4 linked regions of the Arabidopsis thaliana genome follow. The protein of the gene in region 1 purifies or fractionates together with the protein of each later gene. This does not show direct contact. Each region holds a gene or a part of one and is shown in the gene's direction. Other genes may lie near its edges. The genes, in order: AT1G20590, AT4G34400, AT3G45900 and emb1796.

Evidence for each region.
Region 2: the proteins of AT1G20590 (region 1) and AT4G34400 purify together in Arabidopsis thaliana (affinity purification with mass spectrometry, with the first as the bait; one large-scale study listed by BioGRID). This does not show direct contact.
Region 3: the proteins of AT1G20590 (region 1) and AT3G45900 purify together in Arabidopsis thaliana (affinity purification with mass spectrometry, with the first as the bait; one large-scale study listed by BioGRID). This does not show direct contact.
Region 4: the proteins of AT1G20590 (region 1) and emb1796 purify together in Arabidopsis thaliana (affinity purification with mass spectrometry, with the first as the bait; one large-scale study listed by BioGRID). This does not show direct contact.

The regions. Positions count from the first base shown.
Region 1 is NC_003070.9:7,128,735-7,136,121, reverse strand, and holds AT1G20590 (cyclin), read left to right. Parts: upstream 1-3,656; coding exon 3,657-3,827; intron 3,828-4,052; coding exon 4,053-4,244; intron 4,245-4,330; coding exon 4,331-4,429; intron 4,430-4,527; coding exon 4,528-4,706; intron 4,707-4,799; coding exon 4,800-4,956; downstream 4,957-7,387. Other genes in the region: CYCB2;3 (Cyclin B2;3), read left to right, coding at 1-59, 150-371, 458-556, 655-833, 917-1,049; AT1G20600 (AP2/B3-like transcriptional factor family protein), read right to left, coding at 1,885-1,956, 2,370-3,011; AT1G20580 (Small nuclear ribonucleoprotein family protein), read right to left, coding at 5,751-5,813, 5,981-6,034, 6,131-6,197, 6,291-6,343, 6,985-7,143.
Region 2 is NC_003075.7:16,442,233-16,450,770, forward strand, and holds AT4G34400 (AP2/B3-like transcriptional factor family protein), read left to right. Parts: upstream 1-2,908; 5' UTR 2,909-2,967; intron 2,968-2,975; exon of another isoform or gene 2,976-3,083; 5' UTR 3,084-3,090; coding exon 3,091-3,177; intron 3,178-3,797; coding exon 3,798-4,170; intron 4,171-4,249; coding exon 4,250-4,396; intron 4,397-4,497; coding exon 4,498-4,716; intron 4,717-4,800; coding exon 4,801-4,824; intron 4,825-4,916; coding exon 4,917-5,008; intron 5,009-5,112; coding exon 5,113-5,364; 3' UTR 5,365-5,541; downstream 5,542-8,538. Other genes in the region: XLG2 (extra-large GTP-binding protein 2), read left to right, coding at 1-387, 481-618, 711-815, 898-1,056, 1,137-1,284, 1,398-1,633, 1,742-1,905, 2,014-2,608.
Region 3 is NC_003074.8:16,871,899-16,880,423, reverse strand, and holds AT3G45900 (Ribonuclease P protein subunit P38-like protein), read left to right. Parts: upstream 1-4,340; 5' UTR 4,341-4,439; coding exon 4,440-5,006; intron 5,007-5,086; coding exon 5,087-5,142; intron 5,143-5,226; coding exon 5,227-5,422; intron 5,423-5,507; coding exon 5,508-5,858; 3' UTR 5,859-6,323; downstream 6,324-8,525. Other genes in the region: AT3G45910 (uncharacterized protein), read left to right, coding at 3,349-3,542, 3,678-4,086; RUS1 (root UVB sensitive-like protein (Protein of unknown function, DUF647)), read right to left, coding at 6,324-6,623, 6,704-6,880, 7,016-7,131, 7,211-7,409, 7,519-7,575, 7,677-7,952, 8,026-8,525.
Region 4 is NC_003074.8:18,250,535-18,258,703, forward strand, and holds emb1796 (Pentatricopeptide repeat (PPR) superfamily protein), read left to right. Parts: upstream 1-5,426; 5' UTR 5,427-5,551; coding exon 5,552-7,441; 3' UTR 7,442-7,669; downstream 7,670-8,169. Other genes in the region: AT3G49220 (Plant invertase/pectin methylesterase inhibitor superfamily), read left to right, coding at 1-267, 421-557, 2,416-3,113; AT3G49230 (uncharacterized protein), read left to right, coding at 3,871-3,998, 4,316-4,373; DMS3 (defective in meristem silencing 3), read right to left, coding at 8,079-8,099.

The DNA.
Region 1 (7,387 bases):
ACAATCAACAAGATCTTAATGAGAGAATGAGAGGAATCCTCATTGACTGGTTAATTGAGGTAGACAGATCTAGACAAAAGCTATTTAATGCCACTTTTTTTGTCTCAATGTGCCTGAAGATAAATTGACTGGAAAATTATCTTGTCCAGGTGCACTACAAGTTTGAACTGATGGAGGAAACTCTTTATCTCACAATCAATGTCATCGACAGATTCCTTGCGGTTCATCAAATCGTGAGGAAAAAGCTTCAGCTTGTTGGTGTTACTGCTTTGTTGCTTGCATGTAAATATGAAGAAGTTTCAGTTCCAGTGGTAGATGATCTCATCTTGATCTCTGACAAAGCTTACTCTAGAAGAGAAGTGCTAGATATGGTGAATACACAACTTTGTCTTGATCATTAACTACCACTGGTTGATGCTTCATAGTTGAATTTACCTGTTTTTGGTTTCTATTGCAGGAGAAGCTAATGGCCAACACCTTGCAATTCAATTTCTCTCTACCAACTCCATATGTTTTCATGAAACGATTTCTCAAAGCTGCCCAATCTGACAAGAAGGTATATATCTCCCTAACTAAAAAAGCTTGAATCATTATATCCGGAAACCATCAGGCCTAATATCTAAATCGGTGTGGTATATGCAATTGTGGTTTCAGCTTGAGATTTTATCATTCTTTATGATCGAGCTTTGCCTTGTGGAGTATGAGATGCTAGAGTATCTTCCATCTAAGCTGGCGGCCTCAGCAATCTACACTGCTCAGTGTACACTTAAGGGATTTGAAGAATGGAGCAAAACCTGTGAGTTTCACACAGGCTACAACGAAAAACAGCTACTGTAAGAACATACATTGATTTTTTTGAAAACCCCATGACATGAGATTTTGGTATCCTGACAGTGGGTTTTTGTGTTTTTTCTAGGGCATGTGCGAGAAAGATGGTTGCTTTCCATCACAAGGCAGGAACAGGGAAGCTCACAGGAGTTCACAGAAAGTACAACACATCTAAGTTCTGTCATGCTGCAAGAACTGAACCAGCTGGGTTTCTGATTTAATATTAATAAGAATCTAATATGACTTAACTCGAGTTTTTCTTTAGAACAAAAAGAGTGTGAGAGAAAGAGAGATAGTAGAGCAAGTTGCCCAAAATGGGAGAAGAATGGATCTTTAGATATCATGGCAAGTAGCCCAAAAAGAGTGTATTCTTCTCTTTCTAAGGTCTTTAGATCTTTCTTCACTTGAGAGAGAATAAAAAGAATCTTCTGATATCATGCTTTCCTATATTCAACTTGTGAATCGATTCTTGTATAGACTCAGGAAAATCTATGATCCAGTTTGGTTAATATTACTCGGGAGCTGAACCTCTAGACTGAATCAAATATTCTTCTACATGTCGTTTTGGTACTCTGGAACTGAATCTCTAGACCCTATCAAATATTCTACAAGTACATGGCAATTTTTTGGATTGTAATTTGGGAAAATTGCAGTTGACAAGGTTTTTACATGATGAAAATACAAGTACAATATTCTTTTATAGCTTATATATTAATGTTATAAATGACCATATAGACTACGTTATTTAGACAACTCAAAGTCTACAGTATTGCAGTCTTTATTGAAGGAGGATATAATCATTACTTCTAGTATTTCATAATCTTGTTCCTTCAATTTATCTTTGTTTTCTGATCTTAGTCTTATTAAGACCTTTATGAAAACAATGTACTTTGTTTTACTCATCTACTGTCAGAAATGGAGAATGCGCAAAGAAGAAAATAGATCACAACGAAAACTTGTCAATGATTCAAACATCTTGGTAACCCAAAATACAGAACTAGTAGTGCATCTGGACATATCTCTCTTGTTCTCCTTTGTTTGGTTTTACAGTGTTCTCTAAGAAGTGTTGCAGCACCTGACTTTGCTGCCTCGAATGAAGACATGCTCAAGCTGTGATACCTTACCATCCTGTAACATAGCAATGAAAAACCGAAAACAAAAGTTAAGTGACAATTATTAATAAACAAACCCATTAAGTTGACAGATTATTTATGAATACTTATGAACAATAACACATTAAAAGAGTTAAAGACTTTCTGAACTAAAAAACTACAGGTAGTTCTTTCCCAATAATTACAGGTTCATTCAAAACCCATACAGCACATTATTCGCAAAGAAGACGAAGCTTTAAGACCTGCATACTTGAGACTATTCACATTTGACCACTGTATTAATTCTTGAAGATCTCACCCTAATTTGGATTCAAGAAAGCAGTAGTCTTCAAGATCATCCCACTCGATTAGTTAATTTCTTAAAGAAAATGTAACGTAGTGAATAGCAAAGCAAAGCTTTCGAGTCTTTATGTGCCTAAACATCCAAACAGTGACAAAATCAGAAGTCTTCAAAAGACCATAATCTGCCACAAACTGCATCCACCCTGAAGTTAAGACAGGTGTTTTATCCCCATTCCACATCTTGAACTTCATCTGTTGAACTTCCCCGTCTGGTCCATACACCGAAACATCAACCCCCTTTACCGGATCCTCTGATTCTTCTAGAAAAGGAAGCATCTTCTCCTTCACTTGCTCCTTCGATAACATGAGCCTGCTTTGATCTGTATCGACGTCGCTCGACATCAACTGCTTCTTTATCGGTCGGCTGAATCGCCTCGTCACCTCATCATCGCCGAATATATCCTGTGGATCGAGTTCAGCGTTGTACCAATCCTCAATTAACCTCAGAGTTTCTTCTGAAAAGTCATGGATATTTATTTTCATGATGTTCTGATTCTTAACCCTCTTAGGTTGATTTTTTTCAGTTTTTTCTTCCCTCTTCCTAGACTGCTTTTGATTAGCTTGGCTTACTAGTAATAATGGAAGGGACGCAACCTCATCATCTATATCGTCTTCATCATCTATATCCTCTTCACGATCCATAACATCTTGCATCAATTGTGCTAATATGTATGTAACTTCTTCATCTTCTTGTGTTGAACTTGTCGGTTTACCTGTTGAATTCGCCATGATCGATCTCTCACGTTCTCTCTATCTTACCTTGCTGAAGAACCTATCTATAGGGTTTGTTTTTTTCCTTCTTTCTAGCAAATCAATTTCCTTTTATACTTTGATTTTCCATTTAAATCATATATATGAAAGTTGGCCACCTCATATTAGTTTAGTAATTTTAGTTAGATATTTTTTTATTATTACGTTTTGTGAATATGATTTTATCATATGACCTTCTTTCTGTATATTTTTGTGCGTTCTGATAACTTGGTAATATTGATAAACAATTTTTTTCACGTAATAGTCATCTGACACATTAGACATACCAAAAAAAACATAAGACATTATATTGTTATATGCAAAAGAAAATAATTAAAGTGTTGACTTAAATTACTAGCATATCATGATGTGATTGTTTACTAGATGACAAAAAAATATATGGAATAAAAAATTGTTTGTTATAATTAAGTTAGACAAGTTTCAAAACACATAAGTAATATAACTACATTCATTTTATCAATCTATCATATATTGTTGTTGTATGTGATTATGATAGTTAAATATTAGAAAAATAGATATATAAATTTTCATATTATAGTAGAATTGATATTTCGAGTTATAGATGAAACTAATCATAAAAATTAATAATTATATTAAATAGATATGAATTATAGTAATAATTATATTGAACATCAAAATAAAAAAAAAACCATAATCATATTTTTCCGACAATTCAAAAAACAAAAACCGATGCTACGCATGGGTGTTCATCTAGTTGTAATTAATAAAAACACATTTAACTTTTTTAATCGACAAAATAATTATTTTAACTCTGTAAAAATACTGCTCTGTTTTTCAAAAACGTCAATGAGAGATATAGACTAGAGACCTCTCTAATAGCTGATGATGAATTTTTTATAATAAAAAGCTCTGTTTCTTGATACCATGTCGTATAAATTTCTATATCATACATGTATATGCTCTACTTGAACGACTTCTTATGTAACTTGAGTTCTTGTTATCTCAATACAAGTTATGTTTGTTCATTCTTGTCTTTAGGGAAAAACTAAGAAGATTTTTGTCATCGACAGATTCCTTGCGGTTCATCAAATCGTGAGGAAAAAGCTTCAGCTTGTTGGTGTTACTGCTTTGTTGCTCGCATGTAAATATGAAGAAGTTTCAGTTCCAGTGGTAGATGATCTCATCTTGATCTCTGACAAAGCTTACTCTAGAAGAGAAGTGCTAGATATGGTGAATACACAACTTTGTCTTGATCATTAACTACCACTGGTTGATGCTTCATAGTTGAATTTACCTGTTTTTGGTTTCTATTGCAGGAGAAGCTAATGGCCAACACCTTGCAATTCAATTTCTCTCTACCAACTCCATATGTTTTCATGAAACGATTTCTCAAAGCTGCCCAATCTGACAAGAAGGTATATATCTCCCTAACTAAAAAAGCTTGAATCATTATGTCCGGAAACCATCAGGCCTAATATCTAAATCGGTGTGGTATATGCAATTGTGGTGTCAGCTTGAGATTTTATCATTCTTTATGATCGAGCTTTGCCTTGTGGAGTATGAGATGCTAGAGTATCTTCCATCTAAGCTGGCGGCCTCAGCAATCTACACTGCTCAGTGTACACTTAAGGGATTTGAAGAATGGAGCAAAACCTGTGAGTTTCACACAGGCTACAACGAAGAACAGCTACTGTAAGAACATACATTGATTGTTTCGAATTTTTTTGAAAACCCGATGACATGAGATTTTGGAATCCTGACAATGGGTTTTGTGTTTTTTCCTAGGGCATGTGCGAGAAAGATGGTTGCTTTTCATCACAAGGCAGGAACAGGGAAGCTCACAGGAAGTACAACACATCTAAGTTCTTTCATGCTGCAAGAAGTGAACCAGCTGGGTTTCTGCTTTAAGGGAGGAAAAAACTATAATAAGAATCTAATATGACATAACTCGAGTTTTTCTTTTGAACAAAAAGAGTGTGAGAGAAAGAGAGATAGAGCAAGTTGCCCAAATGGGATATGTACAATGGTTGGTTCGGTTCTTCTCTTTTTAAGGTCTTTAAGATCTTTCTTCACTTGAGAGAGAATAAAAAGAATCTTTTGATATCATGCTTTCCTATATTCAACTTGTGAATTGATCCTACTAATTTCATGTATAATCGTTGTAAAATACTCAGGAAACTCTATGACCCATTTTGGTTAATATTACTCAGGAACCGAACCTCTACACTCCATCAAATATTCTTCTACAAGTCGTTTTGGTGTTTGCTGGTACTCTGGAACTAAACTTTTATAGACTAAATATTGTACAAGTCATTTTGGAAATTTTTTGGATAATTTGGGAAAATAGCAGTAGACAAGGTTTTACATGTTGAAAATACAAGTACAATATTATTTTCTAGCTTATATTATTAATGTTATAAATGACCAACTTTGTTTTCTGATCTTAGTCTTATTAAGACCTTTATGAAAACAATGTACTTTGTTTTACTCATCTACTGTCAGAAATGGAGAATGCGCAAAGAAGAAAATAGATCACAACGAAAACTTGTCAATGATTCAAACATCTTGGTAACCCAAAATACAGAACTAGTAGTGCATCTGGATATCTCTCTCTCTTGTTTGGTTTTACAGTGTTCTCTAAAGCATTAATGACAGAACCAAGAAAGGCGGCTTTCACCTGGATATCACAGAAAGACTATCCCAGAATCAAAGCTTACATGTTGAGCGTAAAATCAATCATCTCCTCACAGGTGGTACCGCTCCCCTTCCTCCAGTTCCACGCCCGGGCCCGGCAGCCGGCTTTAAGATAATATCACAAAGATTCAAGAATCTAACCATTAGTAGTGACAAAGAAGAAACAAACCATTAAGGGATAACAAGGATTTGAACATCTTAACAAGTTCCATAAAACTTCCTAACATTGCATTCATGAGCACTAAATCATAAGAGAGAGAGGGTGAACTTACTTTCCCTCGCATTGCACCTCTACCTCTGCCAACACCCAGTGATGAGCTCTTTCCCTACATTGATTAAGCAAGTAAGGTAAGATGTTTGTTGGAGATATGTATAGAGATCCTAATATCATTCTGCATCCAGGGTTCAAAAAGCATATATACCTTGATTCTAGCATCTAACCGCTTGAACATTGGAGCATGTTTGAGAATGTCTGGTATGACCATAAACCTGTCAAGATATATCCGCAGGTCAATTACTAAACAGCTAGGGTTAACAAGAATGATCCCATGAATTACATAAACAAGGAAACAAGTACAGCACCTGACTTTACTGCCTCGAATGAAGACATGCTCAAGCTGTGATACCTTACCATCCTGTAACACAGCATTGGAAAACCCAAAACAAAAGTTCAGTGACAATTAACAAACAAACCCATTAAGTTGACAGATTATTTATGTATACTATGAAGAATAACACTTAAAGAGTTAAGACTTTCTGAATTGAGAACTACATGTAGTTCTTTTCCCAATAATTACAGGTTGACTCAAAACCCATACGGCACAATAATCCGCAAATAAGAGGACGCTTTAAGACCTGCATACTTCAGATAATTCACATTTGACCACTGTATTCCTAAAGAGCAACTTAGGCTTTGGATAAAACGTTACAAAGCACAAACGTAGAACCTTTCTTCTCAGTTATTGATGTGTCCTATAGATCAATAATAAGTTTAACCAATCAGAGGAGACTATACCCTACAGTCAAAATTTATCTAATGTCACTGGCAGGATCACGCATTCTAGGGTTTTATACAGCATGAATTTCAAGGATTCTTAATCTCACTTAGAACTTAAAATAAGAAGCAATCTAAAATTTCCCAGCAAATTTGCCCAGCTCACCAAATCTAGGGTTTTAACAGCACTAACATCAAACAATGAAATTGAAACGAAACCTATGGTTCAAAAAACAGTCTCATATAAAATGAATCGAGATCTTCAGAGTATCAGTTGATTACCTTGGCGGTATAAGTAATATCCTCGAGCTGACAGTTCCAGTTATCCTCACACTCAATCATACTTCCTCTGTAAAGCTCGCCGCTCTTTAGCTCCACCGTCACGATATGACCTGAGGCCTCGTGAAGAAGCTTCACCGGTATTCCCAAACTTCGGCTCATCTTTCTCTCTACAAAACCCTAATTGAAAACCTTCTCCTTTAACTCTGCAACCTAGAAAGAAAAAAATGGCGGAAGGAAAGAAGAGCGACTCAGATGCGATTGACGAGTTTACCTCTTTTAAAGCTTTCCTGATTTATTTTTGGGCTTTATATAGGCCCATATTTATATTAGGCCCAATTTGAGAAACTTGCTTTTTAGTCCCTATATTTGACATTATTTTAATCCTTATTTTTGTACAGACGAC
Region 2 (8,538 bases), on another chromosome or scaffold:
TTGGGGAACCGGTTTACTGAGAAGGAAGTCTGTATTGTCTGCGATGCCAAATACTGTTTCAACTGTGTGCGCAGAGCCATGGGTGCGATGCCCGAAGGAAGAAAGTGTCAAGCTTGCATTGGTTATAGGATTGATGAGTCCAAGAGAGCAAGTCTCGGAAAGTGTTCAAGAATGCTCAAGCGCCATCTCACGGATTCTGAACTTCGACAAGTCATGAATGCCGAGATCACCTGCAAGGCGAATCAATTGCCTTCACGACTTATCATTGTCAATGACAAGCCTTTAAGTGAAGATGAGCTTTACACGTTGCAGACATGTCCAAATCCACCCAAGAAGCTAAAACCCGGACACTATTGGTATGATAAGGTTGCTGGCTACTGGGGAAAGGTACAGTTTCTTATATATGTCTGCGTATCTATTATCGGGATTGTATTTTGAGTGCTCAGCTAAATCAGAGCCTCTATGTGTTTATTTAATCAGATAGGAGAGAAACCTAGTCAGATTATAAGTCCTAACAACAGCATAGGAGGATACATCAGTGAGAAAGTAAGCAATGGAGACACTGAAATTTATATTAATGGCCGGGAAATAACCAAGCCAGAGCTCACGATGCTCAAGGTTCTTTTGCTTTTCACCTTTGTTTTGGATAACAAATATGCTTAGTGTATGTGTCATTGTTCTGAACTGAGCGCTTCTTTGCTTTGATGTAGTGGGCGGGGGTGCAATGTGAAGGAAAACCTCATTTTTGGGTCGATTCAGATGGTTCTTACCGAGAAGAAGGTCAAAAGCATCCCATCGGGAACATCTGGAGTAAGGTATGGTTTCCTGATCACCAGCTTTTCTCGTTCACAACATTAAATATAAAACTAAAGACAACGAAGGATATTATTTTTACAGAAGAGAGCAAAAATTGCTTGCGCTGTGTTCTCTCTGCCAGTTCCTCCGGCTTCGTCTGCAGTAGAACCATATGATGTGCCCTTATATGAGCAGAAGATGCTTAACAAGCTTCTTTTGATTGGTAGCGAAAAAGGTGGCGCCACTACAATTTACAAACAAGTGAGCTATTCATCTTAATGCCTCCCACTTGAATGTTTCACATCTAGTAAAGAATCGGGAATTGACTTCTTCTGTTTCAGGCAAGGTCTCTCTACAACGTCTCATTCTCTTTAGAAGACCGTGAAAGAATCAAATTCATAATCCAAACAAATCTCTATACCTATCTGGCAATGGTTCTTGAGGCACATGAAAGATTTGAAAAAGAGATGAGCAATGACCAGTCTTCAGGTAATTATTATTGACTGTACAAACTATTAGAATAAGAATGCATTCATATTCTAATACAAACATCAGTTAACAATTGATTATTGAGGAAGACTGATCGAGTTCTTGGGATTTAGGCAATGTGGGAGATGAAACCAGTGCAAAACCAGGTAACTCGATCAACCCGAGACTAAAACATTTTTCAGATTGGGTTTTGAAAGAAAAGGAAGACGGAAACCTGAAGATATTTCCACCATCAAGCCGTGAGAATGCTCAAACCGTTGCAGATCTCTGGAGAGTACCAGCTATTCAAGCCACCTACAAAAGACTTCGCGATACACTTCCCAGGAACGCCGTTTATTTTCTTGAAAGAGTAAGTTTACATCAAGTTGCCTGCTTGCATATATAAACGCTCTTTCAGGACCTTAACACTTTTGTTTAAGGGGAAAAAGATGACTGACCCAAATTTGTTTCTTCTCAGATTCTTGAGATCTCGAGATCAGAATACGATCCTTCTGATATGGACATATTGCAAGCGGAAGGACTCTCCTCTATGGAAGGACTTTCTTGTGTGGACTTCTCATTCCCATCAACTTCTCAAGAAGAGTCTCTTGAGAGCGATTATCAACATGATACAGACATGAAGTTAGTTCTGTTCTTTTTCCTTGTGTTGCATTCCGGCTATATGAAAAACCGTTGAACTTACCCTCTCTCTCTCTCTCTCTCTCTCTCTCTCTCTCTCTCTCTCTTTAGGTACCAACTCATCCGGCTAAATCCGAGAAGCCTTGGTGAAAACTGGAAATTGCTGGAAATGTTTGAAGACGCTGACTTGGTGATATTTTGTGTCTCACTAACAGACTATGCAGAAAACATAGAAGACGGTGAGGGGAATATTGTGAACAAGATGCTTGCAACCAAACAGCTTTTCGAGAACATGGTGACTCACCCGAGCCTAGCTAACAAAAGGTTTCTTTTGGTTCTAACCAAATTTGATCTCCTAGAAGAAAAGATCGAAGAGGTTCCTCTAAGAACCTGTGAGTGGTTTGAAGACTTCAACCCATTGATCAGCCAGAACCAGACGAGCAGACACAACCCTCCAATGGCTCAGCGTGCTTTCCATTACATTGGATATAAGTTCAAGAGACTCTATGACTCAATCTTGGAACCCGTAAATATGCGTGGAAGGAGCTTTAAGCCAAAATTGTTTGTTTGTCAAGTGAGCTTGGAGAGTGATACTGTGGACAATGCACTGAGGTATGCGAGAGAGATTCTCAAGTGGCATGTTGAAGAAACTTCCATGTTCCAAGAGATGTCTACTACTAGCATAGAGGCCAGCTCGTCCTCTTGATATTTTTTCCTAAAATTCTTTCTTTCTTTGTGGAAATTACATAAGTTTGTTTCTCTCTCTGTGTGTATGTTTGTTGTATATGTAGTAGTGTGAAGATACATTCATGTGATTGATTTTTCAGGGGAAAAAAAATAGAGAAATAATAAAGTGAATTTTCCCGGTTTAACAGACATTTACTTATACGGTTATTGAGGTTGAACTGGACCGGAGTAGCAATAAATTATCGGTTCAGTTTGGGAGATCAAACCGTTTAAAAGAAAATAATTTGAAATGGCCACGCAGAATACGAGGGTCTGAGGATTGTACCTCCTTTCTCTGCAAAAACTTAAACGTTGATTTGACTCAAGCGTCAAGGTAAGGTACTCTCTCTTCATACAACATTTTAGCTTTACTTTTTCTCTTTACTCTTCTCTCTCTCTTTCTCTTTCTCTTTCTCTTTCACTCGTTCTCTCTCACTCACTCTCTTCACACACAGATCCAAGATGGCCTCTTCAATGGCTAGCAATGATTTCCAGCTCCCTCCACGTTTCTTCACTGTTTTCGTCTCCCATTTCAGCTCAGAGTTCATGGTAAGATTTTCTCTCGAGGTTTCTTCTTTCAGGTTTATCTGTTCATGAGCAAACGATTCTTGAACTGGGTAGATTCTCTTAGCCTAGTGGTTTCTTTGAACTATGTCTGATGGTTTTTATGAAACAAACACTGTGTTTATCTGCATTTAGCTTCCTCTATAGATTTTGCTTTTTCTGTTTCTAGGGTTTTGCTCTTATTCCTACCCTTTGGTTTCCTTTTTCTGACTAAAGATTTAAACTTTCTGTATGAATCAGCTTAATTTATGGACTTAACACTGGATATGTTTGGTTACTGGAACTAAATTTCATCAAAGTATAAAGTAGTTTTGCTCAGATTTTGTTTTCTTTTTCTGTTGATGAATAGAAACATTTGTTCTGCTTCTAAATGCTGAAAGATATAAAATTTTGAGACTGGATGCTTTGATTTTGTCTGGTTCTGGAAAGTTGACTCTTTTAACTGTCCCTACGCTTTTGGTTGAAACCAAATCTTGTTGTGTGTGGAAAGCCTCTTTAATGACTCTCTCCGACTTACCTTAAAGTTATCTTGTTTTTTTTGTGTCTTTACTTATCTATTGAGTGTTTGGCTTATAAGTTAAACAATTTTTCTGTGAAATGAGCAGGTGATCCCAGTTTCCTACTACGATCACATTCCACATCGTTTCCCCAAGACTGTGATTCTCCGAGGACCTGGTGGATGCTCCTGGAAGGTAGCGACGGAGATAAAGGATGATGAAGTGCTTTTTTCACAAGGATGGCCCAAATTTGTTCGGGATAATACTCTTAACGATGGAGACTTTTTGACCTTTGCCTATAATGGAGCTCACATATTCGAGGTCAGTATCTTTCGCGGCTACGACGCATGTAAAGAGATTAGCGAAGTCACTGAATTGGAAGAGGAAGAAGAAGACAGTGTTATATCTCTGAGCAGTGAAGACACAGACACTGGTGCTAAATCTGAGATGAAGAATACAGTCCCGGAAGGCAGAGACAAAGGTTCATTGTTAGCTTTTTTTCCCATCACTTGCTTTTATGTGATTTTGCTTGTTTTGACTTTTGAGATTTTTGTTTGCAGGAAAGTCAAAAGTGGAAGTTGTGGAGGATTCTGATGACGATGAGGAGGAGGATAGTGTTTATTCTGAAAGCAGTGAAGAAACAGAGACAGACACTGATTCTGAATTCAAGGTGGCCAAGCCAACAATACCAAAAAGCCAGAAGAAAGGTTTTAAACTCATCGTTAGCTCATTGCATAACTTGAATTGTTTCTTTATGTGATTGTTTTATATATTGACAATCATGTCTTCTTTGTTGAGATGTTTTCAGGAAAGAAGAAAGAACAAGTTGTGGAGTCCTCTGATGACGAGGAAGACGAAGAGGAGGACAGTGACAGTGATTACATTGAAACGTTTGGTCAATTGGATATTGAAGAGAATTCCATCAGTGAGGAGGACAGTTCTTATGCTCCTGATAAAGAAGACACAGCCACTGCCTCTTTTGTCAAACCAAAGGTTGCAAATAAGGTTGCTAATCTGAAGAGGAAAGGTAAAATACATTTACTTTCATCACTTTTAACTTCATTTCTTCCATGCTTATCTTAATGCAACATTGCTTTGTCTATGGAACCAGAGGCGGCAAAGAAGAGGAAGAAAGGTAATCACATTGTTGTCTTAATTAGTTCCATCACTTCATTATGTAATTGATTTTTGAGATGCTAATGCTTTTGTCTCTTGAGATTCTTACAGTCGATCCCATGATCAAGAATCCTGAGAGATACCTCGATGATCCTAAGAATATCCATTTCGAGACAAACGTGAAGAATAGGTTATACGAGCTGGTAAGAACTGCAACTTCTTGTCCTCATATACTACTACTCTTTTTAACTTAAAGATTGTTTTCATTAACGTTCTTGTCTGCTTTGTGTACGTATCTTTTTTACAGTTGGTTCATGCACAACTGGTGAAAGACTATTGCTTGAGGTTTGGAGACTATGTTAACTACATCGACAGGTTCGGGAAACTAAGTGCTAAAACAGCCAAATGGAAGGATCAGCGTGTTTGTATCAAAAGATGGATGCGCATATGCAAGAGGAACAAGTTGAAGAAAGAAGACCGCATTTTGTGTGAGCTCTTGCGCAAGGGAACTTTCGTTTACGCAATCAAACTCCATGTCATCCGCGGTAAGGATCTGTAGACGCTAGCAGTATGAGTAGAGGAAGAGATTTGGCTACTTAATTATCTCTCTGATTTCCATCTTGTTGTGTGATCAAGCAAACTTATGTGTTTCATTATTGTCTACTTCAGATTGTATGACCTTCTCTCTTGTTCTCTCATGAATCTATTTCTGAATACAATATCTAATCTTTGAGCTAAAGTTTAACTCTTAAACCCTTGAAAGAGTAAAAATCCTTGAAAAAAAAAAAAAAAAAAAAATCCTTGAAAGAGTAAAAATCAAAGAAAGGTCGAAAACTGTATATTTGTCTTAGCTTTTTCTTTCTACAATCTGTTTTTGGCAAGATTTTCTCTTGAAAATTCTGAAGAATCTAGGTATACTGGTTTCCACGGAATCTCCTGTAACAAAGATCAAAGTAGAAGAAACAGAGGACTCATTCACTAAATATATAACCTTTGAGGAAAACTAAATAAAATATGTACCTTCCTTCTTCATCCTCGTGATATCGCTTGTTGATTTCTCTTAAATGGAAGCTGCTTCACCAGAAGTGAGGAGAAACAAAGAACAAATTAGTGAGAGGAAGTGAGAAATGACCTTGAAAGCTTTGTGACATAATAATTGTGAATTTTGTGATATAAAACAGAGTAGCTACTCTGTTTTTAGTCCAAAAATAGTAACTTCCATTATCAGAGTAAAATATACTAACCAACATAAAGTTTGATTATTTTGAAAACTTTGACTTGGATCATTATTTATTTTATAGTTTACCATGTCGACGTTGGATATTTCTTTTGTGAATTTTTTGGCCTACAAGTTTTTTTTTCAATTCCAGTTTTGTGGGTCCTATCGTCACGTTTTCGAAAACCTCTTCTTTTTAATTGAATGTTTGCTTTCATCTTTACAAAACAGAGCAAGCTACTCTGTTTCGAGTCCAAAAATAGTAACAATCATTATCATAGTAAACATACAACTAAACCAACCCTAAAGTTTTATTATTTTTGAAAACTCTGATTTGGATCATTTGTTATTTTCTAGTTACATTACCATGTCGATAAGGGAATGATATTTATTTCGTGAATTTTTGGCCATACTTCCATTTTTGTGGGTCCTTACTCCTTTCTTGACGTTATTTTTTAAAAACCTATTCTCTTGAATAACTTTGATTTCTTCTTTAGCATAATTCTTTCTTTGGATATGCTCCACTTTTTGCACGAAAATAATCATTTTCTCCTGAAGATAATCAATTTTCGCAAATTGCATGTCAGTGTCACTATCTTTACAGAGCACGCTTTTACAGACTAAAATTTTGCACATAAAATATCTTAATTTTTTGTTCAAAAAAAAAATATATATCTTAATTTATTATTTATTTTCACATGGCGAACATTTGTTTTTTTAACTCAATGAGTTTGTATAGATGAAGTAAACATGAGGACAATTTAACGAAAGTTAAGTCACCTAACGCTTTGAAATCCAACCTACCAGCCTGAATTTATATTTACACCACTTTGAATAACTCATTTCTGATTAGAGTTTTTTTTGTTTGTTTGTTGGAAAGCTGACTAGTTGAAACGTTAGACTCTAAATAGCTTGTTAATCAAACTGGTTTCAACTATCTTCTTTAAACCACTTTGATTTTATAGCTACTAAATTTATTTACGGATTATCTTTAATTACTTTCCTCATATAATTAGTTTCTTAAGCCAACTATAAAAGAATCAAAAATTAGAAGACTAAAAAAAAAAAAATTAGAGTAATTAACAACGTGGGTTATTGTTACCAAAATTAAGAAAAATACAAGAAGTAGAAACAAACATTAAAATGGTCCAAAATCTGTTTAAGTAGAGATAATGGTGTAGACCTTAACCAGCTCAATCCCATTGTTGTTATCTCTTTAATTACTACAATACATTTTGGATAGTAATATTTCGTTATGCTAATTGCTTGTATTCGATCGACACCTATTATTACCCGATCTTTATCTGAAATGGACGGTTATAGACTAAAAGTTGTTGAGATATTTTTAATTAAAAAAAAAAAGTTACGTTGCAGAATTATTTCATAAACAATGAAATACAGACATTAAAAAAGAAAAACGATTAGAGTTGGTGATCGTTATTAATTAAATATCTTGATTAATCAGTGATTAGTACCAATCCATAGAATCTTACTGGTTAATAGAAAGTGGAAAACCAGTTGGAGAAAAGATAAAGTGAAAAAAGTAATGACGCGGCGAGATAATGAAGAAAAACGTTTGTGGTCAGCACAAAAAACGTGTTCTTATCATTTCGACACGTGCGTCTCTCTCTCTGCCTTTTTAGTGGCTTAATAAGTACTACTTTTCTTCTGGATAAAGGTATTATTAGGTTTATAAAGCTTTAACGTCTTGTTTCATTTTTTGTTTTTAACTTGTATAGGAGCCTGCCGCCCTTAATCACATAGTCGCATGCATTAATACTTACTACATAGTTTAATAACTATTTCTAAGTCAAAATTTATTCTTTGAAAAAAACATTTAAAAAAGAATTATAAACTCTTTCCCAAATTTTGGATAATTTGTTGACTTTTTTTGTTGTTAAAATAAATTGTTGACTTTATTGTCAATGATTATTGTCAATGTGACCATACTCTTCTTTTCTTGGTGGATTGACCATAATCTTTTTTTGATAAGAGTACCAAAATTAGTAAAAAGTTTACAGAAATTATAATTCCGAATTGTTGAGATATATCTACGTTTTTGAATGTTGTAATATAATTAGTCATAAAACTTTTTACTATGATTCTCTTTAAATTCAGTTCTTTTTAAGTTTAATGACAAAATGTGAGATTTTTTTTGTTTTCATTTTCGATGAACCCCATATGTTTTAAAATGAAAAACTGCTATCCTAGTAAAAGACACGATTGTATTAAACGTTTTGAAGTAAATTTTCATACATAATCCAATAACAACAGAAATTCTTCGTCTATGGATTTTTGAAAGTAGATTTATAGATGATATGTTTTCTTCAAAATCCTATATAAAAATAATCGAAGTACTACAGGATAGATTAGTTTGTTTTGTATGATTAACCGGTAGAGTTAAATATGTGTTTTAATTGGTTATGGGACAAAGTCAGAAGACTAATATGGCACGTGACGTGAATAGAGTCTTTGGAAGCGAGAATACGTGGTGGGTCAGCGTAGAGAAGGGTCAAC
Region 3 (8,525 bases), on another chromosome or scaffold:
ATCGATTTAAACCCGTCAATTCTAGGATTTTCCAGCTTGTATTGAAAATTGAATCACATCATACACATAAAAAAATCTAATATGTTATTAATTATTGTAGTATATAAGATTATAAATTTTTAAAATAATATATATGAAATTGAATATAAATATTCAAATTATGACCCAGTACTCAGTAGAAAATTTTCTTAAATCTATTTTTGACCCGTTATAATATTTTTTCATGTATTGAACAGTTTATATTCGTTTTAAAAAATTCAAATTATGGCATATGCGAAAAAACTCTAATTATTTTTTTATAACGATGATATTATTTTTTCGCAAAAATAGAATCATATAAAGATGAGAGATGAACTATAATAATTAATAAAAAAAATAATATGATAATTTAGATATCAAATCTAATTTGTTGATTTTAATTGGTTACTTTTTTGGAAATTGATAATGTATTTTGTTTTTTAGTTAAATTTAATTAATTAAATTAGTATTTGATTTTTTAATTTTTAAAGAATTGAATTAATTTACTCTTTAAATTTTATTTCTAATGGCATACCTATGTTTAAAATTGAATTAATTTACTCTTTAAATTTTATTTCTAATGGCATACCTATGTAATTACTTACAAAAAATAAGGTTACATTTTAAATGTACTTCCCAAATAATATAGTAGGATAAGAGATTTTACTATATTTTTTAATAAGTATAATCAATCGTGTTTAGTAGTTATTATGTGTAAAACTATAATTTTACTGTGGAATTACAATTAAATTAGTCAGGCTAACTAGACCGATTTGAAACTTGTTATACATATGATGAGTTCTTTTTTTTTTTTTTTTTTTTGAACAAAACATATGATGATTTCTAAAGATAGAAGAATATTAATTAAGCTTTGGCTTATTCTAGAAGACCTTTACTTTGTTTATGGTTGCCTCGAATGTAAATATATATATATATATATATATATATATAAGATCATTTTGGTAGGTCTTTCCTCTATAGTAATCTTCTTTTTTTTTTTTGTTGCTAAGATTGTAAATATTCATTTTACAATAAAATTTAAGGTTACACAAAAAACATAACCCTTATGTAGCTATTAACAAACTGGCCATTTTGGCACTCATGTATAGTGCCTACAACATTAGTAGACACGGTCCTGCTTCCATAAATCTATTTTGACATCAGTTTGTATCCTCATTGTCATCATTGTTTACTAACGAGATTAAAAAAGAAAAGAAAACTTGGACATTGTTGGATAATAATATTTCTTCTACATATTGATCTCGCTTTGATCCTAGCCAATAGATCAACACATTTGTTACTCTCGATAATCACTAGCTCCTGTGTGTTTTAATGTAATGGTGAAGGTTAGGGTTTTCTATGTTTCCTTTCAAAGTGTAGTACTATAGTTTCAAATAGGTAGCACATACTAAAATCCCAAAGATTAATGCACTATATTTAACCTCTTCTGCATCAACTCCATTTGAGTCGGTATAATCCATCCAAAAACAATCATATCTTGCGCTGTCCATATCCGAAATTATGTGAAGCGTCATAATTAGACTTCATCCACCCTTCTGTCGGCATCCTCCATGGCATTGATTTGGAGCTTCATAAACATATTTAATATTGGTTTGTATTAAATATTTATGAAAATCCATAGACACAAGGATAGAGAGGTTGAAATTAGAGAGATCTTACGATTCTTTTTATTTAAGCAACATACTAGTATCTATGTTACTTTTATTTATTTATCATTCTTTTCTTTTTCTTTTGGAGCTATAGCAACCTACCAATAGTATTTAATTTATTCAGAGCGTTCGTAAGAATATGTTTGATAAATATGTTCACGAAGTTTCTTTCGTGGTTGAGAAAATTTATAGCAAGATGAATTATACGTACATTGTTCAACTCATAATGATAATTTTGTTTTTAGATCTAGTAGTATAGTATGGGTTATTATCCGTACTACAATATGGGTTAAACTTATAGCTATATCATCATCCGTACTACAATATGAGTTAAATTTTATTTATTACAAAATTTATATATTATATATTTTAGAATAAAATTGTGATATATTATAATAGTAATTGAAAAATATAATTAGACCTACCAAATAATGTAATACATTATCATTTTTTTATATTATATTATTATATGCAATGATAGAAGATTTAAAAGTATTGACTTTAATGATACTTTAATTTTTGCTTTCTTTTTATTATTTTCATATGAATACTCTTAAAATTTTATCCAGTTTATATCAATTCTATATATTTAATCATGAGCCTATAATAATGTTGTTAGAGTATTATATCTGGAGAATATATAAAACCATAAATAGTTTATTTATAATTAAGTTGAACAATTTTCAAATCATCCAAGACACATCATTTCTCTAATATTGATATATGCAATGACAAAAAATCCAAAAGTGTTGACTTCAATGACATTCAATTTTTGCTATCTTTTTATTTTTTTGTACGAATACTCTTCAGATCTTTTTTAGTTGATGTCAATCCAAACTTTAATCATGAGTCTATCACAATGTTATTGAAGTACATAAAACAAGAAAAAGTACATAAAACTTTAATCATGAGTCTATCACAATGTTATGACAAAAAAAAATTTTGTTAATTGTTTTCGGATCAGTATATCAAATTTGACTCTTTTTCTTAAGGAATTGTGGGATGTAGAAAATGTTCACATCCATAAGGAATTGAGGTTGAAAACGGTTCTTGACAATGTGAAACAAACTATGGCTCAATGTGGGTTCTACATCCGGTCCGTATGCTTATGCCCGGAAAAAGTTCTTCACAGAAAACAAACCCCTTATTAAACGTCTTCATCGATCAGACGTGAACATAACTGAATCACAAGAATACCCAAAGAAATATCCAGGTAAGACCACGTTATAATTATCATAGTTGTATTTCAGTTGATCACTAAGAAAGCATATTATGAAGAATATAACTAAGTCGTTTAGCTTATGCTTGGTCTGAATAAGTCATCCTAAGTTGTAGTAGTCAATGCACGTTTGATTAAGAGTCTCTTTTGTTATAAGATCCACTTGAATAGGTCATCTAGTTGAGTCTTGTAAAAGTCTTTCTAAGAATAAAATCATAGAGCTTGGTTCCTTTGTTTTGTTTTAACGATTAGCAGATAACTGATTATTGTCACAATTATGAATTGAAAAACGTCTCTGCTTAGTTTGTTTAAATACTTATTTCAGTGAACAGAGCTCTAATCTAAGATTTGATCGTGAATTCTCAGACTTGACTATGATGCAAAGACTCTCAGAATGACCCTCCTGCTGCCATTCTGCTCCTAACCTCGGACTTCTTTAAAATGGTCCAAAACCTATCTCGAGAACAATATGGGTTTGTGATCTGGGTTGTTGGAAACAATTCTATCCCTGAAGAAATCCGCAGTCTCACAACCTTTTTGTCATGGGAGAATCTTGGGACATGTTTACTTCTTGATCCAAACGCGCACGTAGGATCTCTATGCTGCAGCCACCGCCGAGTCCTCCTCGTCGAAGAGTTTCTCAACCTATTCCTAGGCGTGCCGATCTCCTAGTCCCGATAATTAATCAATCCTTAATTTTTGTCAATATTTCTATTTTAGTTCTAAAGTTTCTCCAGTTTATAAATCTGGTACTTTCTCTAATTTATTAGGTTTTTGGGATCTTACTTGTCTTGGGGTATCTTGGATTTCGATCTCTTCGTCCAATCCAATGCACTTAATGGAGGAGTCATCGATATGCTTCGAAGATTCGGTGTTGAGGTTCATATCTCACAACCGCCTACGAAGACCAAGAAGAGATCCAATGCAAACCGCAAAGGTTTTCCCGATATTGAATTGGGGAAGGCTATGCATTCAAGGGCATTGGAGCGTAATCCAAGCCCAATGCTCCTAATTTCCTCAGATTCTCGTCTTCACACCGACGTCTCACATATCACGAGTCTCGCATTTGAGATAATCTTGTTTCACACCAAAAAGGCTCCCAAAGATCTCAAGGATTTAGCAACAAAACGTGTACTATGGTTTGATGGTGTGTCAAAACTGACTGAGGTAAGAATCTGACTTGTTTGCTTATTGTTCATATGTTTGATTTATAATTTTTGTTTTGATAAAACATTATAAGAATATTAAGAAATTAAAGAAATAAATATTCCAAGTTAGTAATTAGATCTTTTATTATCAAAAGTCAGACAATTAAAGAGTAGCTTCATATGCTACTAGTTCTTAATCTTTTTTTTTTTTTGTCAACTGCTAGTTCTTAATCATTTTGTCAATATCAGATATTGATTTATATCCAACTTCGCTAATACGCCAAAAAAAAATGTCCTACCGTTTTTGCTGATAGATTGAAAACAAGAGAACAAAAAATAAAATTTTGTCTTTTCTTAGTATCTTTTTTTCTGCGGTCACGAAAAATGGCGAAACCTGAAGAAGAAGAAGAGAGATTGAGAATGAGAAGCTTCGTTGAGGAAGAAAAAGAGCATGATGAATTGAAGAAACTAGCAAAATCATTTCTAGTTTTAAGCTTCTCAGTAATGTTAGCTCATCTCCCAAACGACGCAATCTCTCTTGTCCCGAGATTAACATCTCAAGTCACCGAGCTAAAACGGCGACTCGCGACGGCGGAGGAACAAGTCCGTCAGATGAAATCTCGGCGCGTGGAAGATTCGAAAGCTAACGCGCGTGTGGTCGAGATCTTTGCTAGTCATAGAAACGCTTGGCAAGAAGAAGAGAAACGATTGTTGAATCGGATTCATGAAATTGAAGAAGAAAGAGAAGATTTCATGAATAGGATTAGTGAATTGGAGAGGGAAGTGAGTGAGAGAGATGAAATGATTGGGTTTATGTCTCGAAGAGAGATTGAGGAAGAAGATGATGATGATGGACAAGGAGATGAGTCCAGTGAACGTTATGCTGTGGATCATCTCACTCTATCTTCATCACCATCACCTAATGCTTATGGCAATTTTAATCCTTTCCAGGTTTTGATTTTGATTTTCTTAATTATGAGAGTGAAGAATTTGTGTGTTTGGTTTTTCAAGTTTTGCTTCTGTTTTTGTAGGATTTACAATATGAATCTTTGGAATCTGTGTATCGTATGAAGCATTTTGTGCCAAGGTAATAGAGAGTTTTTGAATTGAGAATGTGTGATTGTGATTGTGATGATGAGTGATGTATAATAGCTTGTCTTTGATTGCATAGAAGGGAATCACCATGGAAGATTGATAGTGAAGGGACGGGTGTATCTGCGAAACTGAGGTTGCTTGAAGAGGAATTACTGAATCTTGAGAAAGTTTGTCGTCCTAGTGACATATCGAAAGTTCCGTCTTTGTTGAAAAAACAGGCTAAGAGGTATCAAGCTCTTTCAGGGAAGATCGATGATCTATGTAGAAGAATGGTTAGTCTCTATGAGTGATTTGCTTACAAGTTACAACACATTCTTGAGTTACTCCTTACACCTTTCATGGAATTTATGTTTTCAGCAGAGTAGTGATCCGTGCGATGCTACATTAGGACCTGAGTTCAGGACGCAAAGACAAAACGAGTTTCTGCTCGAGTGTTTCAGACTTCAGCAACGGGCATCGGAGACAGGGCAGAAGCTAGTTTCATTGCAGACGGAAATCACCAGGAGTAATCAAGGAGATCAGTTAAGCCAAGCCAAGATGAACACAGGGAGGTCATTGGATTTGATCAAGAACAACTTGAAAGAAGTTCAGAGAAACTTGGAGATTTGGCTGGCTAGAATTATTGGAGATCTTGAAGGTATACTTGCTAGAGACGGGGCTTCACGTGTAAGAGAATTCTACGTTGCTCGATACCCTTTTGTTCAGTAGAATCAGAAATCTCTCTATCACTTAAGACTAACTCGCCATTTTTTTTTTGTTTCTGTTGCCTTATGTATGTGTGTCTGTAACTGTGTTAACCTGCTAAAGATCAGTGTAGAAGTCTAGGTTTGATCTGATAAATAAGCAAGTTGTGTTATATTATTAATCATTCCAAATGTTGTGGGGTCAAATGTGAAAAATGTCAGGTATGTTTGTTAGTCGCAATGAATTTTAAAAAGCAGATTAGAATCTCAAGCCACAATGAGATAATGTTCACATATATGATATATACTATGCAACATTGTTTTGCTGGAATATGATATTTAGGGATCTTCTGACTTGAGAGACATGTAAATCTCTAAACAGCTCACTACATTCCAATAGCAGATGAACAGAGAACAATGTATCTAACCTATACCGAAAAGTCAAATGGGATCTAATACATCATCCATTGGCCATGGTTTTGCTCTGAGTTTATGAGCTGTTTGGAGAAGATAATAATAGTTCACGATCATGACCTAGACGGATTCTGGTTGGTAGAGGTCTAGCTATCAGTCCTTCAGTGACCCAACCTACTGATTCGCTGTCTTCTTTGGCGTGTTCAAACTCTCGTCGCACATAATCTAAAGAAATGTGAAGGCGACCACCGGGTTTGCAGTCTGAGTAAGTGCTTGCGGGTTCGATCCCAGCATTCTTCTCTAGCCAGTAGAGGTAGTTCACTTGAAACAATGACCTGAGCATGTCTTGTGGAGTTGAGCTTTCCTTGAGCATCACCTGACAATTACAAGAGGAGATAGAATGGTGAGAGATTCCGCTGGGTAATAATAATTATGAGAAGGTTTATCATTGCTTACGCAGAATCTTCCTTTGTGTTCTGTAAGGATGTAGCCTTCATTGCGATATAGATCAAACAGTGCTATTGCTTCTTCCTTGTTGTGGATAACATCGCTGAGCTTTGACCCTAGTTGAAGCCGTTCCTCTATGTCTGCGGCTGCTGCTTTTGCTTCTGATGATAAGACAAAATCTTGCAGCTGAATAGAGCAGATACTAAGAATCAATCAATCAGGTCATCAAGTATTGTTTTGTTCATCCGAGAAAGTTTTTAGATTTTAAACTAGTTGATAAGAGATCTCAGAGTGTATAATAAGGTGAATGAACACTTTTACCTTTTCTGGAGATTTCATGTTTGAAAACCGAACTGTTGGGAAGAGCGGTTCTTCATCGTTGACCTCCTTGATTAGAGGAGCTTGGCCGCTGATTAGATATTCACTAAAAACCAAACCTGCAAAATAAACAGAGATGTTATTTTCGTCTTGTAAGACGATTTGAATGAATTGGACGTCTGCAGGAGTGGGATTTACTTGCACGGTATGGGTTTAGAGTCCGGAGCTGGATACACTGGTAAGATTTGAGATTGGTATACATATGGATTGTAGTCACAACTCCAAATGCAGCAAGGGCAAGACTTGTAGAGGTTCCTATGCAATTGGCAACCACTATTCCTAGCAGAATACCCACTGACTTGCTCACCATTCCTTGAGCTTCACCCTTGGCAATTACCTACAAAAGAAGTTGTTGATGCATACACTAGAGACCCAGAATAGTTGAGAAAAACAAATAGCTGTTGATAAGTGATCAAGACTAAGGCCATATAAAAATTATTGTAGACCTCAGCAAAGTTCCTTTGAGAAGCAAAGCCAGCATTGAAGCAACTTCTAGTAGCAGCCTGCAGACAAGTAAATGATAAGTTCAATAGAAAATACTAAACTATAACAAATGCTGCACTTAGAGCTATGCAAATAGAGCTTTCAGAGACAAGAACAGAACCTGAATCAATGCAGCAGCAGATCGACCAGCACCAGCAGCAGCACCGATCATAACGAAAAACTGAGGGAAGACTGGCGTAAGCATCTCCATACCAAAAGCAGCGTTTTCAAGAAGATCAGCAAATAGCCTCCATCCTTTGGGATGAACATCGAAATGTCGTCCGTATTTCGACAACATTATCTTACTAAGATACCCAATTCCATCTTTAAGCACCCAATTGATAGCTGCAGCTGTAGGAATTGCTCCTTTACCTAACCCAACTGCATAAAGCAAAGACTACCAACACAATATAATGAACACCAAGTGTTTGTGAAAATGCCTAAGAGAGATGATAAGCTCAGTCGTCTACCTGAGTGGCAAGAACGCCGCTGATTTGACTAGCAATACCTTGAACACCTCTCCAGAGAGAGTAATCGAGGTAATCAGAAGTTACACTATTGGGAAAACCTTCAGGAAGAAGGAATTGAGTGAGAAGGTTTCTACATTGAGCTAGGAGATTCTCAGGAGTTAGAGAAGATGATAATTCAAAAGCAGATTCTTCAGAGACGAACTCATCTTTGACAAAATCGGGAACTAGTCTCTTCCTTTTACTTCCTCTCACTTCCCAAACCGTCTCTTTCACAGCATCTCCATTACTATCCGAATTTTGATCTTTAGCTATGGCGGACGCAGCTGATAATCGGAAATGGAAGAAGCAAGACAAGCCCAATAAAAGAAAGCAGAGGTATCTCAAATCGAAAGAAGAATCATCAGAGTTATCGCCGCCGCCGTCTCCTCCGCCACCGCCGCCATTTCCGTTATCATTATTACCGTTACTTCCACCCAAGTCTGCACTAAACACTGAAGCCA
Region 4 (8,169 bases), on another chromosome or scaffold:
ATTCTCGGCGAGTCACGACGGTGACGATTTCGCCGGAGTTCCAATACAGAACAGGAGGCTGCTGGGAGTGGAGGAACGAGAAGAGAAATTCCCGAGATGGATGAGACCAAAAGAACGCGAGATACTGGAAATGCCGGTATCTCAGATACAAGCTGATATTATCGTATCGAAAGACGGTAACGGCACGTGCAAAACTATATCGGAAGCTATCAAGAAAGCTCCTCAGAACAGTACTCGCCGGATAATTATCTACGTCAAGGCCGGAAGGTAAAATGACTGTTTTACCCTTCGTATTAATCGATGTTTTTAACTGTTATGTCCGTGAGACGAAAGTGAAAACTAAAAACCTGTACGGAGGTTTAATAATTGCGTATCTCTGACTGTGTCTGTGATCTCTTTTTTTTTTTTTTTTTTGGAAAGATATGAAGAGAACAACCTCAAGGTCGGTAGGAAAAAAATTAATTTGATGTTCGTTGGAGATGGCAAGGGTAAAACTGTTATTTCGGGAGGCAAAAGTATATTTGACAACATCACTACTTTCCACACGGCGTCATTTGGTGAGTTTTTCCTAACCTCACTCTTCCTTTTTTAGTTTTTACTATACTACTTTTTTCACTTTTTGAACTCTTTTGCAATAATACAACAATCATGATAAATAGTTAAAAGCAAAACACGTATTAATGCAATGAAACATGTACAAGAATTATAAATTGATACACTAATCTTTTCGGTGGTCGAAAATCAGAAGCGTTTTTTAGTGATATAATAGAAAAGTTAAAAGATCTTTTTGTGTTAATTAAAATCTTAAAAAGGAGCTATGAGGGTCAACATTTATGATATAATAAATGTCGTTTTTCTATAGATTTAATATAAACTATTTGTTGTACATATTTGTTACTGAAAAAGGTATTGATATAAATAAGTTAAGAAGGAAAAATATATATACTTTGAGGAGAATTATTGGAATCAGATACGTGAAGGGGGCCATGAGCTAGGCTGTCTATAGATTTCGGAGTGATAGGGTTTTAAAAAAGTGTCCAATAGATTCTCCTATAGTCAGAAATTTTTACGAATATTAGTTGTCTTTCACCACTTGTGTGTGTGTTGTGTTTTTTTTTGATAAAAGATTTAACACCACTTGTTTTTATTCTTCATATGGATTATGGACCACTAAAGAAAGCTATATTTAAGTAAACCTTGTAAATAGTAGTAGTATGTACTCGAACCAGTAAACAAAGTCAATATTATAGACCACTAAATTTCTAAACTGTGAATTTTTTTCTTTCTTTTGTGTTTTTTGGTATTTTCTCAAACTTTTTTGCCAAGGCACTCAGTAGTCGTTTTAATAAAAAAAAAATTGGGGGTCAGAATTTTTGTTTAATGATTTTTTTCAAAGAAACATGTTTTAGAACAAACGTCATTCACCCGTTTTCTACTACTTCAACTCAGGAACCTTCTCATGGCAGACTAACTTTAAATTAATTTTGACCAACTTTTTCTTGCTCATGCTGAATTAAGACCTAATCACCTAAGTTGTAGTTCTTACGTAAGTTTACGTGTTTGTTTAGTTTAAGAGAAAAACACGATCTAAAAATTCCAATTCTCATATAAAAGTATCATAAAATTTTGCAGCAGAAACCTTATTATATATAACCAACTTTTTGTATATCCTTTTTTCAGTTTTGATCTTCAACTCAGTTATGTAGAAACTTAAATTTGAACTGATCTTTATGCTTTTTCGATAACTATATAGTACTCCAACTTTATTTATTGGAATATTGACTTTTCCATAGGACTATGTACGTTCGAATTCGGTTAGGTAACACACTTACACTGAATTGGACATCCTATGTGATGCTGCCGCTTATCCAACCAAACTCACATGCATGTTGTTGTGATTTTTAATGTTCATTAAATGCACAAAACTCAAATCAAATCGAAAACATAAAACATTCTTTTGATCAAACAAAGTTTATATACTTCTTTACCTTCATCTAATATTCATTCCTCACATCCACTTATGTAACATAGTAAATGCATGCTCCACATATGTATAAACAAATATACATACAGACACGCACACATGGAAAATGCATACACATATAAAAGAATATGAACGTATCGTAAGGTTCGAAGTAGGCCGCGCAATTACTGACCACACATATTTGTATATATATAAACATGCATGATAGGAGACAGAGAATAGTAGCATTTATTTACATATATAAGTTGGAGGTGGGTCATAGCTCATTATTTAGTTGAACGCGTTATAGACCACTTGTATACAACATTTCTATAGGTAACGACATTTCTCACATACTAGTTTTTTTTTTAAGTTTAATTATATATAAAGTTAGTTGAATTAGTAAATACAAAACATAATTGTGTGTTAATTTCTTGCTTTAATTTTTCCAGCTGCGACCGGAGCTGGATTTATTGCAAGGGACATCACATTCGAAAACTGGGCCGGTCCAGCGAAGCACCAAGCCGTGGCTCTCCGCATCGGAGCTGACCACGCAGTGATCTACCGATGCAATATAATCGGTTACCAAGACACACTCTACGTCCATTCAAACCGCCAATTCTTTCGTGAATGCGATATCTACGGTACAGTCGATTTTATCTTTGGTAACGCAGCCGTCGTACTACAAAACTGTAGCATCTACGCACGGAAGCCAATGGATTTTCAGAAAAATACAATCACGGCTCAAAACAGAAAAGATCCGAACCAAAACACCGGAATATCAATACATGCGTCTAGGGTTCTTGCAGCATCCGATCTCCAAGCGACAAACGGTAGTACACAGACGTATCTAGGCCGACCTTGGAAGCTATTCTCTAGGACAGTGTATATGATGTCGTATATCGGTGGTCATGTACACACGAGAGGTTGGCTCGAGTGGAACACAACATTTGCTTTAGATACTTTGTATTATGGAGAGTATTTGAACAGTGGACCTGGGTCGGGTCTCGGGCAACGTGTGAGCTGGCCGGGTTATCGGGTCATCAATTCGACGGCCGAGGCAAACCGGTTCACTGTGGCAGAATTTATATACGGTTCCTCGTGGTTGCCATCGACCGGAGTTTCGTTCTTGGCCGGATTAAGCATATAGGTAGAGAAAAAATTGAAATGCTTATTTTTCCGATGAATTGTTTCATTCTTACGGTCCTTATATTAATGGACATATCAGTATTCCAATATATATGAGTATATTTTAACTTTTAATTGTAATGTCTCCACTCTCCAGAGGTATTATTTAATAATAGATGAACACTCGAGGATAATTTTCCCTTGTTTTCTTGACAGTGAAGAAGTAATTATTGACTGATGTGTGATATATATGCCATGCATAAAAAGTTAAACTAGTTTGATTAAACGTAACTTATATGCTTCTTTTGTGTGTCAAAAGAAGGGCTAAAAGTCCAGACTCAAGCAACATTATTGTGTTTAACCGACTAAATGTTTCGAAAATTATTGGATTTTTTTTTGTATTCACACATTTTAATGTTGGATACAAAATAATTCAAACATTCAAAAAACAAATATGAATTGGATGTGTCGGTGATGAGTGGTGAGAGCCGGAGAGAGGAGCTCATGTGATTGAAGTCCATAGGTCACGGCCCACGACCGACACTCACTGTGGGGGCCACGATTTTGGGAACTCATATGTTCCAGTCATGTTCGACTTAACAAAGAATACCAAACATCATTTTCGTCACTTTCCAATTAAAATGCTTTCTTACGTTATACATTACTATAATTTATCATTCATTAAAACTTAAAATTGATGCAAATTCAGATTATATTTTCATTACACCAAAGGTCCAAATATATAATACACAAATGCAAATGCTAAGTCGCATACTCGCATGTCAAGTGACACCCAGGCGGACATGGCTGTTTTTGGGTTTTTGCGGATAGACGGTCACTTGGTTCATCACTTGCGAGATGGACTCGTGCTGCAATATACTTCGACTCTCTACCATTCTATTTTTAGGTAATGTTATTTCTACAACCTTTAAAGTTAGGAATAATTTAATTGTTATTACTATATAGTAGAAGTATATTTCCAAAATTCCAAAGACTGTATAGAATCGATCAAATTAATCTCAGATACCAAGCCAGATAGATTAACAAATTACTTACCAGAATATATAACAAGGAGGGAAAGAAAAGTGAATATGTTCAAAAAAACTATTCATTTTCACGGAGACCTTTTGTTCTACCTACGGATATATATTGGCTAACTTTTTTTTGGTAAAAAGTTAAATTTTATACCAATTTTCTAATTTTTTCTCTACAATGCTGAAACAGCTTATTTAAAAAAGCAACAATTAGAAAGGGAAGGAGATACAACCAAAGTAGAAACTAAGAAGAGAAATAGAAGAAGAAGGAGGACCAGGGAAGGATAGAAGGCGGTCTCTAACGGTGCGGTCCACGGCAGCCTTAGTCACAGAAGCCGAAGTGGAGATGTTGGTGAAGATCCTTGCATTTCGTTCGCGCCAAATGAGATAGCACGCAACCTGAGCGATGAGCTTGATGATGACAGAAGAGAGAGTTTGAGGTTGGAGCTTGCGCTGTAAAATCTAAGATGAGACTGAGAGAAGATCCAAGGGTGGCAAGCGCCAAACTTTAGAAGTTAAAGCTTCCCAAACAGAGGAAGAGAAGGGGCATTCGAAGAATAAGTATCGATGAGTCTCGATGCCAGCAGAACAGAGAACACAAGCTGAGGTGACGTTAATACCCCAGCCCCGCAACCTGTCCTTAGTAGGCAATCTGCCCAGGAACGCAAGCCACATAATAAATGAGTAGCGCGGAACTAACTTGATTTTGGAGTCAATAATCCATAGCTTGCTTTTCAAATATCTTTTTGTTTTTTTTGTTTTCCACGTTTTTCAAATATCTGTTGGACCATTTTGTCTTAGATTTAGATTCAATAACTTTTGCTATACTATACTGTGTATTCTTCTTGTACTAAATTTTGTAAAAACTGAATACCCAAACAAAAAAATACATGAAATACAAGTATTTTATTTAAAATTTAGACCTGTTCTCTTATTCGTTGGACTAAATATACAATAATAAATGGATAAATTATTTATAAAATAACAGTTATAAGATAGAAAAAAAATTACTACGGATGTGGTACAACAAATTTCTCGTTAAGAGAGATATGGGCCGGTCGAAGTGCCGGCCTCTATAGATAAGCCGGCACCGCGTATATTACGCACAACGTATTCCGCTCTTTTTTTGTTACATCATTGTGCAGAATGCAGATTCCTAACCAAAGAAAAAGAAAGTTTTTAAAAATATTTAATTATAATTATATGATGAAATCAAGAATGGGTCCTCCAAAAATCGAGCTTATGGCCCAATAAAGCCCAAACGTAAATAGCCAAGCCCAAGCATATTTATCCACGTTCCCAAACAATCCCTAAACCTCATCATCATCATCTCCAAACTCCTAAAACCCTAACAAGAACCCTTATCTCTCTCATTTCCTCTGAAAGGAATCATTTTTCCACTCAGAAAATCTCAAACATTTCAACCATGTCGATTTCTAAAGCCGCCTTTTTAAACCACCTTCAAACACTATCAAGATCCTACCGCCACCGTGTTCTGCCGCAGCCATTTCTCGCCGTCCGATACATGTCATTCGCGACTCAGGAAGAAGCCGCCGCTGAACGTCGCCGTCGTAAGCGTCGTCTTCGTATGGAGCCACCGGTTAATTCATTCAACAGATCTCAGCAACAACAATCTCAAATCCCTCGACCAATTCAAAACCCTAATATCCCGAAATTACCTGAATCTGTCTCTGCTCTCGTTGGGAAACGTCTCGATCTTCATAATCATATCCTGAAATTGATCCGAGAGAATGATTTAGAAGAAGCTGCTCTGTACACTCGTCACTCTGTGTATTCGAATTGCCGTCCCACGATTTTCACTGTGAATACTGTTTTAGCGGCGCAGCTTCGACAAGCTAAGTATGGAGCGCTTCTGCAATTGCATGGATTCATTAATCAAGCTGGTATTGCACCTAATATCATCACATACAATTTGATATTCCAGGCTTATCTTGATGTAAGGAAACCTGAAATTGCGTTGGAGCATTACAAGTTGTTTATAGATAATGCTCCATTGAATCCTTCTATTGCTACTTTTAGGATTTTAGTTAAGGGTTTAGTTAGTAATGACAATCTTGAGAAAGCAATGGAGATTAAAGAGGATATGGCTGTTAAAGGTTTTGTGGTGGATCCTGTTGTTTATAGTTATCTAATGATGGGGTGTGTGAAGAATTCTGATGCTGATGGTGTGTTAAAGCTTTATCAGGAGTTAAAGGAGAAGCTTGGTGGGTTTGTTGATGATGGTGTGGTTTATGGGCAATTGATGAAGGGGTATTTCATGAAGGAGATGGAGAAAGAGGCTATGGAGTGTTATGAGGAAGCTGTTGGAGAGAATTCAAAGGTTAGGATGAGTGCTATGGCTTATAATTATGTGCTGGAGGCTTTGAGTGAGAATGGGAAGTTTGATGAGGCTTTGAAGTTGTTTGATGCGGTGAAAAAGGAACATAATCCACCGAGGCATTTGGCTGTAAATTTGGGAACTTTTAATGTGATGGTTAATGGGTACTGTGCTGGAGGAAAGTTTGAGGAAGCTATGGAGGTTTTTAGGCAAATGGGTGATTTTAAGTGTAGTCCTGATACTTTATCGTTCAACAATCTGATGAATCAGCTGTGTGACAACGAGTTGTTGGCTGAGGCTGAGAAGCTTTATGGTGAAATGGAAGAGAAAAATGTGAAGCCTGATGAGTACACATATGGTTTGTTAATGGATACTTGTTTCAAGGAAGGTAAGATAGATGAAGGAGCTGCGTATTACAAAACAATGGTTGAGTCTAATCTAAGACCAAATTTGGCTGTGTATAACCGTTTGCAAGATCAGTTGATCAAAGCTGGGAAACTCGACGATGCAAAATCTTTCTTCGATATGATGGTGAGCAAACTCAAGATGGACGATGAGGCTTACAAATTCATCATGAGGGCGTTAAGTGAAGCTGGTAGACTCGACGAGATGCTCAAGATTGTGGATGAGATGCTGGATGATGACACGGTAAGAGTGAGTGAGGAACTGCAAGAGTTTGTGAAAGAAGAACTGAGGAAAGGAGGAAGAGAGGGAGATCTGGAGAAACTAATGGAAGAGAAAGAGAGATTGAAAGCAGAGGCAAAGGCGAAAGAGTTAGCAGATGCAGAAGAGAAGAAGAAGGCTCAAAGTATTAACATAGCTGCATTAATTCCTCCAAAAGCAGTGGAAGAAAAGAAAGAAACCGCAAAACTGCTTTGGGAAAACGAAGCTGGTGGTGTTGAAGAAGCCGATGTGGTGGAGATGGCTAAAGGAGTAGAAGCAGGTGGATCCAATGGTCAGGATCCACCGTCCTGCTGATCTTATTTTTTTCCTTGAATTCATTAGACTCTAGTTATCTTCTTATCATTCAACTTTTATGTAATTAGGGATTTGTTTGGGACAATAAGCTATGATTAATCTTTTGCTATAATGCAGGTGTTTGCAAAATCTTTTTTCCATGTTTGCTTTTGATTTCAAATTAACATGCTATGTAGAACATTTGTTTTAGTGGATGGTCTATGTAATCATTTCTTTATTACTCAATTTGGTGCATTATATACGTAACAAGAAATTGTAAATCTTATCCATTTGGGACAAAGATTTGAAGTGAGGAAAGACTGTATTCCAACTACATGAAGCAATAGAAACTGAGCATCTGATTAGAAAGCCTAGAAGATTGATTATGTACACAGCAAACTGGTCAAGTCAAAAGCAAAACAGACAGAGATTGGAAACAGCATAACCAAAACTAACCGATCTACTACCCTTCAAGGAAATTTATTAAAATCTAGTATATCTGATAAGATGCATTCCATGGAAGCAATCTATCAAAAACTTAGCTGGAAACAAGTTCTTATAGTCAAAATAGGCTTCCTACTTATAGTCAAAATAGGCTTCCTATAGAAGCAAGGGTCACTGTAACTCCGAGCTCTATGCTTCTTTGCTTGCTTTTTTTTCATCTGGGTGTGTTCATTGGCTGGGGCACCACCAACACATAAACAGACCAATGTTAGCCATATAAAACTTTCAGATAGAGGTATTTGAAG